2 linked regions of the Nothobranchius furzeri genome follow. The protein of the gene in region 2 purifies or fractionates together with the protein of the main gene of each other region. This does not show direct contact. Links are inferred from orthologs where the notes say so. Each region holds a gene or a part of one and is shown on either strand. Other genes may lie near its edges.

Evidence for each region. Proteins that work in one complex are often made in the same cells at the same time.
Region 1: the proteins of gsk3ba (region 2) and myosin-9 purify together in Homo sapiens (affinity purification with western blotting; 4 studies listed by BioGRID, with this or other methods). This does not show direct contact. The link is inferred for Nothobranchius furzeri from reciprocal best matches to the Homo sapiens genes GSK3B and MYH9.

Annotation. Positions count from the first base shown.
Region 1 is NC_091747.1:73,544,195-73,552,060, reverse strand, and holds the start of myosin-9, read right to left. Parts: upstream 5,174-7,866; 5' UTR 5,040-5,173; intron 2,624-5,039; 5' UTR 2,619-2,623; coding exon 2,433-2,618; intron 2,350-2,432; coding exon 2,209-2,349; intron 2,135-2,208; coding exon 1,978-2,134; intron 1,871-1,977; coding exon 1,843-1,870; intron 1,500-1,842; coding exon 1,409-1,499; intron 982-1,408; coding exon 961-981; intron 1-960. UniProt on the Homo sapiens protein: Cellular myosin that appears to play a role in cytokinesis, cell shape, and specialized functions such as secretion and capping. Required for cortical actin clearance prior to oocyte exocytosis. Promotes cell motility in conjunction with S100A4.
Region 2 is NC_091754.1:24,449,710-24,457,749, forward strand, and holds the start of gsk3ba (glycogen synthase kinase-3 beta), read left to right. Parts: upstream 1-3,534; 5' UTR 3,535-4,341; coding exon 4,342-4,429; intron 4,430-5,173; exon of another isoform or gene 5,174-5,879; intron 5,880-8,040. UniProt on the Homo sapiens protein: Constitutively active protein kinase that acts as a negative regulator in the hormonal control of glucose homeostasis, Wnt signaling and regulation of transcription factors and microtubules, by phosphorylating and inactivating glycogen synthase (GYS1 or GYS2), EIF2B, CTNNB1/beta-catenin, APC, AXIN1, DPYSL2/CRMP2, JUN, NFATC1/NFATC, MAPT/TAU and MACF1.

The DNA of each region.
Region 1 (7,866 bases), on a different chromosome or scaffold from region 2:
CCCAGCTGGCAGCTATAAATTCAAGAAAAATCAAAGTTTTTCAACTCTCTGGCTCATAAAGACCTATTTGCAGTCTCCTTTGACAGAGAAAAGACTATGAAGCTAGACTGTACTCAGCATTGAATCAAAAAGGGCAAAATCTTTGGACCTTGATGAATGTGTAAATTGTTTTGCTGAGCAACATGGAAACTGCCACATTCAGCTGTTGTAGGAAGAACATAATTTTATTATGCGTTTTATTTTCGTGATGGGCCTTTAAGCTTATTAAATGAAGACCCAAAACAAATGAATATGTAAATCCTGGGAAAAGAAAAAGGAAAACGTGTTTGTGTGTGTGTGTGTGTGTGTATGTATGTATATATATATATATATATATATATATATATATATATAAATATGTGTGTGTGTATATATATGTATTGCCACCCTAGAAAAATGTTTGCCCCTCTTCTGCCACCCCATGAATAATTTTGTAGATCCACCCCTGCTTCAGATGAAACAGCTGATCTGTGCTCCAGGTTTAAAGAATTAAACCATCATGTATGAACATGCATGTGGAATACATTTTAGATCTTTGTTTAGTTTATAACTCCTGATAAAAAAGCTCAAATCTCCTCTTCATTTCTGACTCCATGCCATTTTGTGCGGACGCTGATCAAAATGGGATTAAAACTACCGACGCTTCATGTGGAAGCACTCGAAAAAGGACAGGTTGTGGTTTTACAGAGGAAAACGAGTCGTTTTGGTTTTCGCACTTCTCTAGTTTTTTTGTTCAGGTTGTGATGCAGTTGTGAGCTCAGCCTTGAGAGAAAGGGGATCTGAGGCTGTGACTTCATCAGCAGGAAGTGAGTGAGTCGTTTTAAAAGCCACCAGCTGACCCCGACCCAGAGGCCACACACACAGACAAGTGCACATTTTCGGTTAGTGCGAACACTTGTGGAGTCAGAGAGGGGAACTCACATGTGATAACACGGCACTGCCCTGGAGAGAAGGTGAGAAAAACAAAGAAACACTCAACAAGTTTCAAACAATTGTGACATCACTGGAGCGGCGACGTGGCGCTAACCGACAGCTTATAATGAAAATTTCTATGTAGGTTATCATGTCACATCTTGAGAAAACAACCCACACATTAGAGTAGTAGCACACACGCACGCGCACACACACGCGCACGCACACACACACACACACACACACACACGCACACACACACACACACGCACACACACACACACACACACACACACACACGCACACACGCGCACACACACACACACACACACTTTGCTTTACTAGGAAATGCAGCACGTCTGGGCCTGAAACAGGAATGTTCCAACACACACACACACAACACACACACACACACACACGATGGAGCATTTCCACTCTCGAGTTGTGTTTTACTAACCTGGTCCTTTTTAGACTTGGATGAAGCAACGTGTGCAAGATACTGAATGACTTTCTTTGTGTTCTCCGTTTTGCCGGCTCCAGACTCCCCACTGCGGGGATTAAATCATAAAAATATGTTAAAAACCATGTCCAAAACAGAAAAGTAAAAAATCTTGATCATAAATATCTTCCTGGATGGAATTTGGAGAAATGGCTAACGGCTAGTCCTAGCATAGCTACGCTAACATGAACTGCTACCTTCTTAAAACACACCAAAAAAATCTTTCACAGTACCTCATGAAAACTGTTTAAAGGCACAAGTACACCAGTCTTGGCTGTTCTTAGACTAGCCGTTAGCTTATCAGTCCCATAGAACGTATTCTCTAGTTCACCAAGCGGAGGCTGTTCGTGAAGCTTTTGACAAGAGCTGAGAAGATAATTTACGAGACTTACGTGCAAAGGATGGACTGATCCTCCCGATCTGTTAGAGAGAGAAGTTTCGGTTCATGAAAGATGAAGATGTGCTAAAGTTCAGTCGTTAGCTAACGGTAACATCATGTATAACGGGCGCGGTTTACGCCGTCTCACCCTGCATCATGCTCCTGTAGGCCGTGTCTGTGATGGCGTAGATGTGGGGGGGCATCTCATGTCTCTTCTTGCCCTTGTACATGTTGACTATCTCCTCGTTGTAGATGGGCAGGTTCTTGTAGGGGTTGATCACCACACAGAACAGACCGGAGTACGTCTGGATCACAGCGGGATGGCAACGTTAGAGAGAACCTCTGAATCCGGTGAGCAGCAACGGATCGGAACACTCACGTAGATGAGTCCCGAGTAGTATCGCTCCTTCAGGTTGTGCAGCACGGAGGCTTCGTTCAGGCAGGTGAGCTCTGCCATGTCCTCCACCTTGCTGAATTTGGGAGGATTCATTTTCTGGATATCATCTTTGTTGACCTTCACCTAAGATTTAAATAACCAAGCAGGAGGTTTGCCATTTGCCGCAGACAAGACTCCAGAAACACAAATTGAGGTTTGATCCTCACCTTCTTGCCAGAGTCCGACAGCTCCACCACACACTCGTCTCCCTGCTCCTCCTTCAGCGAGCCGGCTTCGTAGCCCACCTTCTCACTGGGAACCCACACCAGCTTCTTGGAGGCCCAGTCGGCCTGAGCCAGGGGGTTGTTGACCTCGCTGCGGTCCCCATACAGGAACTTGTCTGCATCAGTCATGGTGGCTGCAGGACGCAAAACAGAGTTTAATCAGATGAGTCAAGACAAAAGAAAATAGACTAGTAGTTAGCTCATCAGTCCCAAAAAGAAACTCCATTTCTCTAAACAAAGGCTGTTCAGGAAGCTACACAACAGGTAGGATCATTATTTATAAATTTTACACGTGAACACCACAAAAATCACCATTTCTATTTAATTCAGGCAGTTTTAGATTCTCAAAAGAAGATTTGATTGTAAAATCTACTCGATGCTCCACCCGGCGTCTGACGCTCAGGAATTTGCCACCAGGTTTCTGTGTGTGTGATTAGATCAAATTGCTTCATATCTCAAATCTAAAATTACCAGAACTTTGCAGTTTCCTGAAAATAAATCCCTAAATGTTGATGAGTCAGAGGGACTGAACAAAAACATTCGTGCTCAGGCAGGAACCAGGGCTGCTTGGCGATGCGGTCAGACTGGGGTTTTAATTCAAATCGGCATCTAGATGAAGATTTCTGCTACAGGAGAGCGTGGGAGGAGACCGCATCAAAGATATGATCATAACGCAGACATTCTGCAACCACTAATGACTTTTCGGACGAGCTAAGCGTTTAGGGTCTCAGAAACAACGTGGCTGTGGCCGAGACTCTGGGCGCAGATGGCCTTAGCTCTGGGTCTATTCTGACTCACCAATAATCAGACGTGTTCGGCTTTATCCGTCGTTTTCCTGTTAGCCGAGTGTTTTTGTTACATTAGAGAGGCTGTTGCCTGTTGAAACAGAGGATTAATCATATTTAGCACAGCTGAAGAGCTTCGGTGTATCTATACTGGGAGCTGTTATTACTGCAGACTCAAATCACCCTGAGGTGTCAAGTTTATATAATGACTTTGAGCTCCTCGTGTACACACAGAGCTGAGGCGTGTGCACTCCGATCCACAAACACGGGAGGCACGGGACAGGTTTGGACACATCTTCTAAAACAGCTGTTTGAAGTTTTCCACTGAATCCTTCTGAGTGAACACGGAGCATCTTTTATCCAAAGCTGGTTGGAATGAGACAACACTCCACACAGATGACGCTCCACAGCTAAGGTCCATTAAATTACTCTTTTTAAGTCTTCAACACGACTCTTCTTCCTCTCCATTTCCACGACATTCCTTCTTCACCTTCTCATTATAGAGAATTCCACAAATTCCCAACCCCTCATCGTCATCTTCAACCATCCGTTCACTTTTCAAACTTCCAGAGCTAATGAGCAGCCTTTGTGTCCTGCTCCGTGTTCCTGGCGTTTGCTGTTCAAACTGTAAGAAGGTTCTGATGGAGACCCTTGGATTGGTGCTTTGGAGGTGGAGGAATGTTGGAGCAGGTCTGGGCACATGCCATATCCAGACCACACCCTTACAACCCCTCCAGCCCCACATCAGATAAAATTCTATGTTCTGGACGGTCAGCTGGGTCCTTGGAGAACAAATATTTATTCAGATGAGCTACTTCCACGTATGGATGATGAAAGAGTGTGTGTCTGTGTGTGTTTATAGAGTGAGGGATAAAGGGATCAGTGCACAGGGTGTCATCTGTGTCTCCCTTAAGTTCATTATGAGCTCAGACTCTTGGAGATCAGAGGGAGAGGACTGACATCCTGCAGCGTCCAGATCACCAGCACCGACCCAGAAACGCTTCATCTGTGTGAGAACTTGTGATGCTTCATGAGGGTTTGTGGTTTTGCTGCTGCTGAACTAACTTCTGCAGGAAGTTACACAAACTCTCCCGCAGCTCTTTGAAACGACTAAAGGAGCTGCTGCAGTCTGCTAAGGGTGTGTGCACGGTCTGCACCGCTAATCCTTTGTGCTCCTTGGCACGTTTTCTGCAGCATCACCACTGAACTGATCTCGGCTGTTTGCCAATCTGCTTCTTATCCTGGCACACGCTCGCCCGCACGCACACACACACACACACACACACACACACACACAAGACTGGTGTGAGGTCCTCTTGTCCCTGCAGACTATAATGAAGCAGGTCTTGTTTGTGATGATGAACCTAAAGAGGAAGACTCATTTCACAGAAGTCAGGCTCGGCCTGAACCCGGCCTGGCTGAGGAAGTCCGTCACTGATTGTAGATAACTGAAGCCACAGACCAGCCCTGCTTGCTGTCTGAGCACCAGAACCAGAACTGGGCTCCGCTCATTTCAGGACTAAACTGATGCTCATCCCATAATCTACACATGCCTGTAGTAACCAGAAACCAGCATCTTCTGGTGTCACTTTAGGTGTTAAGTGAAATAAATTCTTTCATCTCAAGTTTGCACCAAATTTAGCTGAAACGGTTAAAAAAAGGGTTGTTGGCTCTAAACATCCTCTGACCAGAACACCTGGAGCAGGTGAGCTGCAGAAATCCCCATATTTAAATGTCCCTCCTGCAGGAGAAGAAACCCACTCACCTGGATCTCAGCAGCTGAGTTCTTCCTGGTTCCGTCTCTGCTCTCGGTTCCGGCTGACGTCTCGATCGGTGTCCCCTAGAGCCAAGAGAGCCCGTCTAACTGTTCGGAGCCCGACTTTAGCCCGGATGGACTCCGCGCGCCGCTCAGCTGCTCACTTTTTATCACTTCTCAGGTGAGCTCGTGGCCACGCCCACCTGTCGGCGGCTGCGCGCGCTGCTTTCAATGGCATCACGGAGCACGGAAGGGATTTCTGCACAGGGGTGCTTTTAACTCTCACTTTTAACTTACTTTTAGACGCGTTGGTGAATGTAATAAATCACAAAACACGGAAACAAATTACGTGTTGCCAGATAAATGCAGCTGAATGATTACCTCCAGTGTATAAACACACCTCTATGCACCGAAACACACACCGAATATTCAAATGAGACAGAAAGGGGAATAAAAAACCAGCGAGCCCGTTTTTCCGGTTCCCAATGGGCTTCAAAAACGTGGTTTCGTTTTATCAAAAATGCTTAATTTAATTTATGGTGATTTGTGACATTCGTACTGCGCAAAAATTCCTCAAAAAAGTTTTTTTTTTTAACGGGCATACATTTAAAAAGTCAGTCCCAGTATTTAAAACTCTTAACCTTTCTGATGGAGTCCACATAGAAACATCTGCAACAGCTGGAAGCTCTGACACCGTTCTGTTTATGGGGTTCTAACTAGTCCATCAATTCCAAATATCAAAATCAGGGGCGGTTCTAGGCCAAATTTTCCAGGGGGGCCACAGTGGGGCCAGTATTTTTTCATGGGGGCGCAAGAAAAAAAAGGGGAAAATTAGGGCAATATCAAAATTCTTTTTTGTCGTCGCCATATGACTAATTTTGTGCTTGTACACAATTTTGCCAAAGGAAATTCATTGATGTCAGGAAAATAAACTGTATTGCTTGCCTTCGTCTCTCAGCGTCTTTTCCGTTAGTTGTCCTCAAGAATTTCTTTGGGTCCCATTTAAACTATTCTTAATCTTTTATTCAAAAATCCACCGGGTAAACAGTTCTGTCCACAGAGTGTGCTGCACTCTAAAGGCTCCGTGTGAAACGCTGCAGCGCATTAGTTCCCGTCTCCGAGGCAGCGCGGGGGGAAAAATCCGATCTCTTCAGCACAGGGGCCATAACAGGGGCCAGGGCCAGTTCTATAGGGGCCCAGGCCCCTGTTTAAAACCGCCAATGATCAAAATAAAAGACTCGGGTTAGCTTTTTTCGCAATGAAAGATTTCTGCAGAAGAGCTAATCCTCTACATAATCTCCTACTGCTCCACCTCAATGTTCCCGATCGTTGTTCTACAAAAAGATCCATTTCAGACTCATCTGTCCCAGTTTGCTTGTCTGTTAGCTGAATCTCTGCTGAAACTGAGATAACATGGCTGCCGCACAAACAGCACTACCTCAGAGCTAAATATTCACATTAGCAGCTGAGAGTCGTGCACAACAGATGGTGTGAGTGCTAGTTGTTTAAGATCTTGGTATGTAGGATCGTGCCATCTTCAAGGTTGGACCAAATGGATGCAAGTCCATCTGTAGGAGCCATATGGGTCTTTCATTTTCTTTCTGCATACATGAGAGGAGGCTTGGCCTCATTTGATTGGTCAAATTGATTGTGGAAGCACCAGCCTACTTAAGCCAACACAGATTAGACTCTGGTGTTGCTGTGATGGCACAAACAGTTTTTTATTGTGTGGCGAGGACTGCGGCTGGGTGTAAAGGACCCTGCGGACTGTCATTGGGGCAAGTAACGCATTCACTGTAAACCACTTTAACTGCTGTGAAAGGATCGTGGACATTTGTGGAACAAGACGAAATAATGAACATCATCGGAAATAAACACAAGCTGCAATTCTTTTAAACACACGTAAAGACCACCACCCGCATCAGTAGCCAGTAGCGCCAGTGTATAGGGCATTGGTATTACACCATCACTTTTGAGGATCTCTGTCTAAGGCCCTGTCCACACGTAGCCGGGGATCTGCCAAAACATAGATATTTTTCTTTCACACGAAAACGGATCTTTTTAAAAACTCCGGCCAAAGTGAAGATCTGCGTTTTCTCCGTTTTGGGTGTCTGCGTGTGGACAGACAAAACCGGAGTTTTAAGGTCCGCAACGTCACTTTCCACGACAAAAAAATGCTGACATCACGTGTGCGACCTGTGTTTACACTAGCCGACAGCATGGATGCCCTCAGAGCTGCGCTCGCTTTATCAATTGTCCAAGCGCTTTTTGCTTGTTTGTTTTTGCAAGCGGAATTACTGCTCCTTGCGGAAGACCACAGACGAAGGACGAGGTTAAGAACGGGGGAAGTACTGCCCCCTACAGGTCTGGCATGTCCTTAACAACGTATTTATCCGGGTACGTGTGGACAGAGTTTTTTTTAAAACGAGGTGGTGTGGATGCAAGTTTTTGGAGGGACGGATGTTCGTTTTTTTTTTTAAACGGCTACGTGTGGACTAGGCCTAAATCTCTGACATGTGAGGTCCTGCAAGGAATGTCGAGACTTTCTTGACAGTGTAGGTTCTGTCACTCTCTAAAAAGTGTTAAAGCTGGATCATTTGTCTAAAAGTGATTTAAATGGGACTAGAGATTTGTCTGGAGTTAATGTGAGGTTTTTATGCTAAAGTTGCCCTCTGCAAAAATACAACACACCTCAGACACACACAACCACAAAGCTGGGAGGCTAATGTGATGTTAAAGAGCCAGTAGATGTGTGTTAAATTTGCAGGAATGAAGAATTTCCTCACCATCTTGCTAAAGAGAAGCCGGGGCGTGGCAGTGCTGTTGCTGCTGCTGT
Region 2 (8,040 bases):
ACCATGGGTAAGGGGTGGTGGTGGAGGGCCTAAACTTGGAGACGGCCACAGAAAAGGAGCGCTCAGAGAGATAAGAGGAGAACCACTCCAGAGCAGATCCTGATAGGCCTACCCAGTCTCTGAGCCTCTCTAGGAGCAGGTGATGGTCAACAGTGTCAAAGGCTGAAGGAGAGATGCTAGATCTAACCTTATTGATTTTGTCCACAAAGAAAGACAGAAAGTTCTCACAGTCTGTAACAGAGAGGATGGAGGCTGTAGGAGAGACAGGAGAGACGATGCTGCTGATGGTGTTAAACAGCACCTTGGGGTTCCCTTTGCTCTGGGACACCAGGTTGGAGAAATAGGAAACCCTAGCATCTCTGACTGCAGAGTTAAAGGATGTCAGAAGATCCTTTAGGTGCAGCAGATGGACGTGGTTCACTGCAGGAACTTATCTGGTTCTGACAGGACAGATGTTGTCCAGAATGGAGAGGCAGTGCTGGTTAAGCTGAGAAGTTAAGGAATCTGGGTCGTTATCAGAAGAACAGGGTGGATCAAAAGCAGCAGAAAAATGTCTAGCTGTGCTCTCATTAAGAAAACGATAACCAACCATACGGCGAGCAGGAGGTGGGGATGCAGAAAGGGACAAGTTAAAGAAAATGCAATGGTGATATTAAATATAAACATCCTCAGGACAAACACTGCAAGTCATCTCATGTCTGAAAGAGTTTGCACCATGGAATGTATAAACGTGAGTGAGATATAGGTCTGAATAAGGGAAATGTAAACATAAATGATTTTTGGTATTACGCCAGTTTTATTTTTAATTATATTTTCTCTGTTTTATAATCAGAGGTTGCCCCCTGCTGGCCACAGGACAGAGTGCACTGGCTTCAGTTTAATAACTCAACACATTTTCAATATAAATTCACACAGGAAGTGTTGATAATAATATGGATTAAAGCCTGTTTTGTCTGCAGACACAAAACACAGTTTGACAGCAAACTACTAAAGCTTCTCTGAGCTGCTATAATGCAAAATTATCTTCTCAGAGCTCTTTTGAGATAAAAATTAAATACACCAACATGCATTTTCAGATAGCAAGTATATCCTGACAGAAAAATATAGAAATACATGGTCATACCATGTTTTCTTGGATAATTTATCATAAATGACCTCAATTTTGACTAGAAAATACATTTTGCATTAAAAAAATGTCTGAATGGTTTTATTACAACAATAAACTCATTAGTAAGGATTTACCAAGGTGATAAATCTAGTTAGAATGATTAGCCTAATGAATTAGACCAAATTCTTGCTTTGCAAAAGTTGTTTATATATTCACATATATAGGATGGCTTTGCAGGCAAGAGGAGGTTGGTATTTGTGTTTTCTTTTTCTTGTTGTAGCTATTATGTCGCCCCCTGCTGGTTGTGATAAAGAATGCCGGTAGATCAAACCTCAGTGACTTCAAGTTCCCACTTCGACATTTTTCTATTAAATTGTGTGTTTCATGCTAAAATAATATAATTATGATTATTTTTCAAAAGAGAAAATGTTCTATCAATCAGATCTGATACAATCCCGTAGTTTTGTACTGCAATTCATGGGCAGAACAGTTTGTGATGCGAGGCAAGGCAGCTTTCATACACAGAGGCAATTAAATGTGCTTTCCATTAGCAGCAATAGCATGAACATTAAAATCAATGCGACAGCACAATTAAAAAAACACAATTTAATTTCAGATTCAAGAATTCAAAAAGACAAAGTTAAAGGGTGAGCAGTTCCAGGGCAGAAGGTGCATTCAAATGCTGATGAATACACAAAGGTTTTCAACTTTGATTAAAAAGTTACAAGAGTTGGGGAACATTTGAGGTTATGAGGAATCCGATTCCATCTGTGTGCAGCAAAGTAGCTGAACACAGCTTTGCCCTATTTGGTTCTGACCCGAAGTTCTACAAGCTGATCTCAGAGCCCTGCCAGGCGTATGGGAGGAGATCTGACATGTATTTTGGCCCCATGCCATTGAGTGATTTATAAACTAGTAGAAGCACTTTCCAGTGAATTCTGTAGTTTACTGGTAAACAGTGTAGTGAGGACAGATTTTTAAAATGTTTCTTTTATATTTATTTCTTCATTTCTTCTAGCCCAGACTGATCCTCTCGCCCACAGCCATCTTTTGCCTTTCTGTGTTTTATCTTTATGCTTGTGGGAGAATATGCTTTGGCTGGGGGAGGTGTTGCCGAAGGGAAATCTGTGTCTTGCGTTACTTCAACTCAGCAGCCTGTTTTAAAATGCTGCTGAGGTTTATTCTGCATGTGAACCATTGAAGGACAGCCTCGGAGAAATTCCTTTTGATGTGCAACACAACAGAGTATAAATAGATCACACAAAAGACAGACTGGTGCCAGCCCACTGTTTACTGAGAAAAAGGGAAGACTTCATCTTGAGGTAAGAGACTTTCACTCTGTTTGGGATGAGTAATAGTTTCACTCTGAGAAACAAAAACTGGTTTTCCATTACAGAACTAATCCTGATGAATTTATATGGTCATTAACAAATCACATATTTGACTGTGCCATCTTTCTCTCTAAAGGCCTCATACCAACTTTCATGCACAGTAGAGGGGGTGTGATGTTTGGAGTTTTCTTGCAACCAAAAGATCATGGCACAGTAGCAGCCAGACGTGAGGTTGTCTTTAAAAATGTCAAAGTATCCCAGAGTCTAATGTGGGATCTTCCACCACACAGCTGAACTTTTCCTTTTGACATATAACGGAGGCATGCACTGATGATTGTGATACTGAAGCTGCACGGACCTCCTGTAGTTCAGGGTCACGAGAGATACGTGTAATCCCTTTTAACCTACCGCAGCTTTATAAATACTTTACATATCATATCAGTTACAAATATCAATTCAGTATTTGCCAAAAATCTAATTATTTGGCTCATTTGACTGCATACGTTAAAAACTTATAAGCACTTCATATTTTAAGACTTAAACTATAGCTTGGACAATTTTCATGCAGAACCTCTCTAAAAAGTTATACTGAAGGGAAACTTACAACTAAAATTGGAAAAACTGAGCAATAAATTTACTTGATTTGCCCGAGGGTCGCGTGGGAAAGAGAAAAAAAACGTGTCCATGAAAGGCAAGGGGGGTAGGCTTTTGTAACTAACATAGCAACAGTGCTGCATGACCACCGGTGCTCTGTGACAGCTGGGGCATTTTGAACTGACAGCCGGTTTTTTTTTTAGCTCCATTGGTCGAAAAAGCCATCAATCCCGGTGGTTGCTCCGCCCCTTACCCCCCTTCAAGGCATGGAAAAGTCTTTGAAGTCATGAGGGCGGAGCTGAACAAATAATGCCATGTGGTGCTCAACACCTGCGTTTCTATTGGTCCACTGCGCCGGGGAAACGCCTTTTTCTGAAGGATCCCATCTCTGATTGGTTGACCATGCCGCCCCAGTTTTAGCGTAAGCGCGTTCACGTTTTTTTAAATTCTCGGTCACGAGTTACGTAAATAGCGTGAACTTCTTACGGTGATGGTGGAGCTAGCTTGGAAACCCTTTACAGAAACAGCGTACGTTACATGCGCAGCGACAAAGACTGCGAGCCCGAAACCTATGGGGAAGAAATAAAAAAAGACATTCGGTATCGTCGCACTCTGTACCTTGAGACCGTTATTTTTCGAGAAGCTAGCCGCCCCAGAGCCTCGGTTGTGACGCCGAAATTTGACGACGACGAAACCGGATTCAGTGTTGGTTTGAAGTCGTTAATTCGTTAAAGAGGACTGTGACGACTGGCAATTTTTCCGTTGGACGGTCTGTAGGCTTGGGTATAGCGGGAGCCGCCATGGCAGTCGGGTCATTGAGCCTCCACATCGGGATATGAAGAGGAACTGCATGTGTCCTGAGTCGTCGAGAAAACGACACGTTTGTCTTTGGTCCACGTTGGATTAACATCCGAGCCAACCCTCCTTCATAATTGTGGAATTCATACGGAAAATAATCGTTTTTTTAGCAGGGGCCACAGGGAGAGGCCAGATTCATGACTATTTTAGACGGAGAGTCTTCTGAGGCCCGTTGAAATAAATCCTGGAGTTTAAGAAGGAAATATTTTCTGATTGACCGTTGTTGGGAAAGAAAGGACTGTTTCAAACGAATTGATTTTTAAAAGAACAAAAAGTAACGCAAGGTACCGTAGGATAAAAAGGGGGTCTCTTTCTGCCTGCCCTTCCTGTGGATCACAGATACATATTCATTTACTGTCAATCCTTTTTTGGATGAGAAGGATCGGTGAATCGATCAGCTCTTCCGTTTAGTCAAAGCCTCCCAGTCGAGAGAATCAAAGGGATTGGATCATGTCGGGTCGGCCCAGGACCACATCTTTCGCCGAAAGCTGCAAACCAGTGCCGCAGCCCTCTGCTTTCGGCAGCATGAAAGTCAGCCGTGAGTACACCTCTGATTCTACAGTGACTTTTCTCAGCACGTACCAGGCCTAGTCAGTCTGGACAACACGCACCCCGCTAACAACCCTCTCATAAAAGGTTGGACCTGACAGAAATATGCTCACACCGCCCCTGTGCCGCTCACCGCTGCACTCTGACGTACCGCTCCGGAGCCGGTCAGCCTAGTAGGCCGCGCCGGAGCAGGGCAGGGCCGCCACGGGGCTTGGGGGGCGAGTGTTGGCACCGGCCCAGTTCAGAAACCATGCCTTCTCCAATTACTGCAAAATCCGGTCTAATTATTGTATAACTGACTTTAGATTGGATCGCAGAGCATTACTACACAGCACCAATCCTATGCATAACGGAGTTAAAGCGATGGGGCTGGTTTATTACGCAAATGGAAGGTGCGCCCATCGTTGACTCATGCGAAATTGACCAGCTCCTAGATAGACCTAAGCTAAACGAGCCCTCTTCATGATGACAAGCTGATCGCAGATGCCAATGCCCTCTGGCTAGAAAGTCTGGCACCTTTTAGCTCTCATTTACGGCATCTGCGACAATTTTATAGCATCCTAAATTACTCTTATCCACCACCTGCACAATTCTCCCCAATTTAAACACTATAGTTAGAAAAAAATAGCAATTTTGTACTACAGTTTCCAGATACTACTAATTTAATGTTTAATGTCTTCATTTAAAAAAGCAAATCTCTACTTATTTGAAGTAATAGCTTACATTTCAATACCTTGACACAATTCACAGCAGCTGCACCCATGTTCCACCTTTTTGCTCGTTTAGGTGTGTGAAAGGGGAAAAAGTGAACGTGTTATGGAATGTGGATGGTGCTTCGGGCTGTGATGTGATCAGGATGTGTGTGAGCAGTGTTTAGGCCTGAGGCTCACTATTGGGTCTCGGTTCTGGAAACCACTTAATGGATTATGACACACAAAGAAGAAAATGCACTCCAGTCCCAAACCTAACACTTGTTGTGCATCATATACATGCATGAGTGTTTAAGAGCTTCCTGTTAGTGTGTCCAAAATGAAAAACAGTATTGTCAAGGGGTATTTGCCAGTAAACGAGTTGACTGTATGAGGATTCCTGTTGTCACAATGTAAAGCTTATTGTAAAACATATTTGTACTATTAGCTGTATTTTTCTTTCAACAGGTCTGTCTGGTAAATCAACGTAGAAACTAGGGATGTAAGAAAATATTAATATGGCAATATATGGTGATATTATTTTACAGCGATATATCGATATTCAATATATGGTGATATTATTTTACAGCGATATATCGATATTCAAAAGCTTTGTATCAATTTTTTGGAAGAATTTACATTCTTACATTCAGTACATTTGTGTATTTTCTTTTCTTTTGGTGCAGTTCAATCACCGACTGCTGGTTGGCAGCAGTGTGCAATGGGCTTTGTTTCCTCCGTTGACTTGTAACCCCCAAATTCCACTACCTCCGCTCCGGTCCGCCCCCGCCCTCCGCTGCCGCTCGCTTCCGAACTCAATTTTTACTGCTACCCGCTCTACAACGGCTCCGCTCCGGTGCGGAGACCTGAGGTGGGCAAATAAGCATGCGCGGGATTTTCGAGATCTTGCGATACAGTCCGAGCAATAAACGCGGAAGTTAGATCCAAACACCCGTTGTGTGGGAGAAGCATCGACATGAACTGTTTAATCTGCCTATCATTTGTGTTGAGAGATCAGCAGTGTTTGGATCAACAAAGTGTGACTACTTTGATAGTGGAAACTGTATTTATGGCTTACTTTTGTGCATTTAAACTTCAGCCGCCACTGATAGTTGTTAAAAGTTGTTAAACTTGTGCATATGAAAGAAAAAACGCCTTTTGTTTATCGATGTATTGTGAAAAACGGAAGTTGTGCCCGCTCCTTTTCCTGTTGGACGGTTGTGATTTCTGTCCATTTACTGCGGAGGTGCTCCGGCGTCCGGCGAAAATAGGATCGATTCTTTTTTTGCCGGAACAGAGGACGGCGCCGCACTGCCGGAGCACGGCCGCAGTAGTGGAATTGCTCTGATTGACTAAAACGGGACCGATTTTGCTCCGGCGTTCGTGTCGGAGCGCAGCGGAGCGGAGCGGAGGTAGTGGAATTTGGGGGTAAATCCCTCTGTCATTTTTCAGATACCTAATTTGAAACATGTTAAGTATCAGTTTGGTCTGTTGAATTTTCCTTTAATAGATTCAGTCGAAAAAAATCGCCAATATCGTCTGACTGAATGTATCGCAAATATATCGCGATATAGTGTATTGTCTCTCCTGTATCGTGATACGTATCGTATTGCCAGAATTTCACCAATACAAATCCCTAGTAGAAACCATTCATGAGATATGTGTGTTTGGTTTTGGCTTCTTTTCATTGCTGTCGTAATAACAAATTTAAAATTGGGCTATTGTGACTTTCTTTAGATACAATTTGGTCATTTTTTGCTTTAGACTTGATGAACAATGTTCAGACCATTTTAGTGCTCTTAAAGATCAGACGCACTATCATAAGGATTGTCAGCATATCAGTTAATAATGAAGACAAATGGGGCTGAGCAATAAATCGAAAATGTATCACTATCAAAATTTCAGAATCTAACCAATTTCCTTTTCCCATGTCAATAAATGTGATAATAATAAAAATGAAAAGATGTGTGTAGTTTGGCGACGTTCAACTTAACACACGTGACAGCCCCATCTAGTGGACAACTTTTTATTTCTGCGCTTACATGTAGTTATCGTTTATTTATCATTATTGAGGTGAAATCCTAAATATATTGTGATATTTATTTGAGGCCATATTGCCCAGCCCTAAAGCCAAAAAATACCATCCATCCATTTTCATCTACTTATCAGAGGTCGGGCCACTGGACCAGCAGCCTAAGCAGAGAAGCCCAGGTTGGAATATGGACTGACCGGTAAATTAAGAACTTTCGACTCAGCTCTCCAATCCTCTCGTTTGAAACGCCTGGACCTCATCTTATAAAAATATCTGCCAAATACTCATTTTTAGGTTTATTACTGTAAAATTTGGTGTGTGACGAGGAAAGATTTCAGACTATTGACACACAATGTTTTCCAGTAGATATCTCATTACTGATGTTATTTTTAAAGTGTGTATTTAAAAAAAAAATTATCGACAATAAAAATTAATATTTTTCTGGACATTAAAGCCCATAATACTCTGACATTATCACTTACATACATTTTCACTGTTGTGGGGAAAACTTCAGAGTGTTTACTTTAAAAGGATTACCTCAACCATGCCTCAAGTCCAAATGGTACGATAGCTTTTATTCAAATTCGGTTATTCTTTTTCTAAAGCCTCTTGGGCTGTAATGGCAGGAATGTTACTCCTCCAACTGAGGCAGGACCTCGTCCCTGACCTGTAGAAGGCATTCTACCCTTTTCAGACTCAAGACCATGGTCTCAGATTTAGAGGAGCTGATTGTCATCGCAGTTGTTAGCTGCTTCACACTCGGCTGCAAACTGCTGCAGCGAGAGCTGGAGATCACAGTCTGATGAAGCCAACATGACCACATAATCTGCAAAAAGCAGAGACCTGATCCTTAGCCACCAAAATGGATCCTGTTCCATA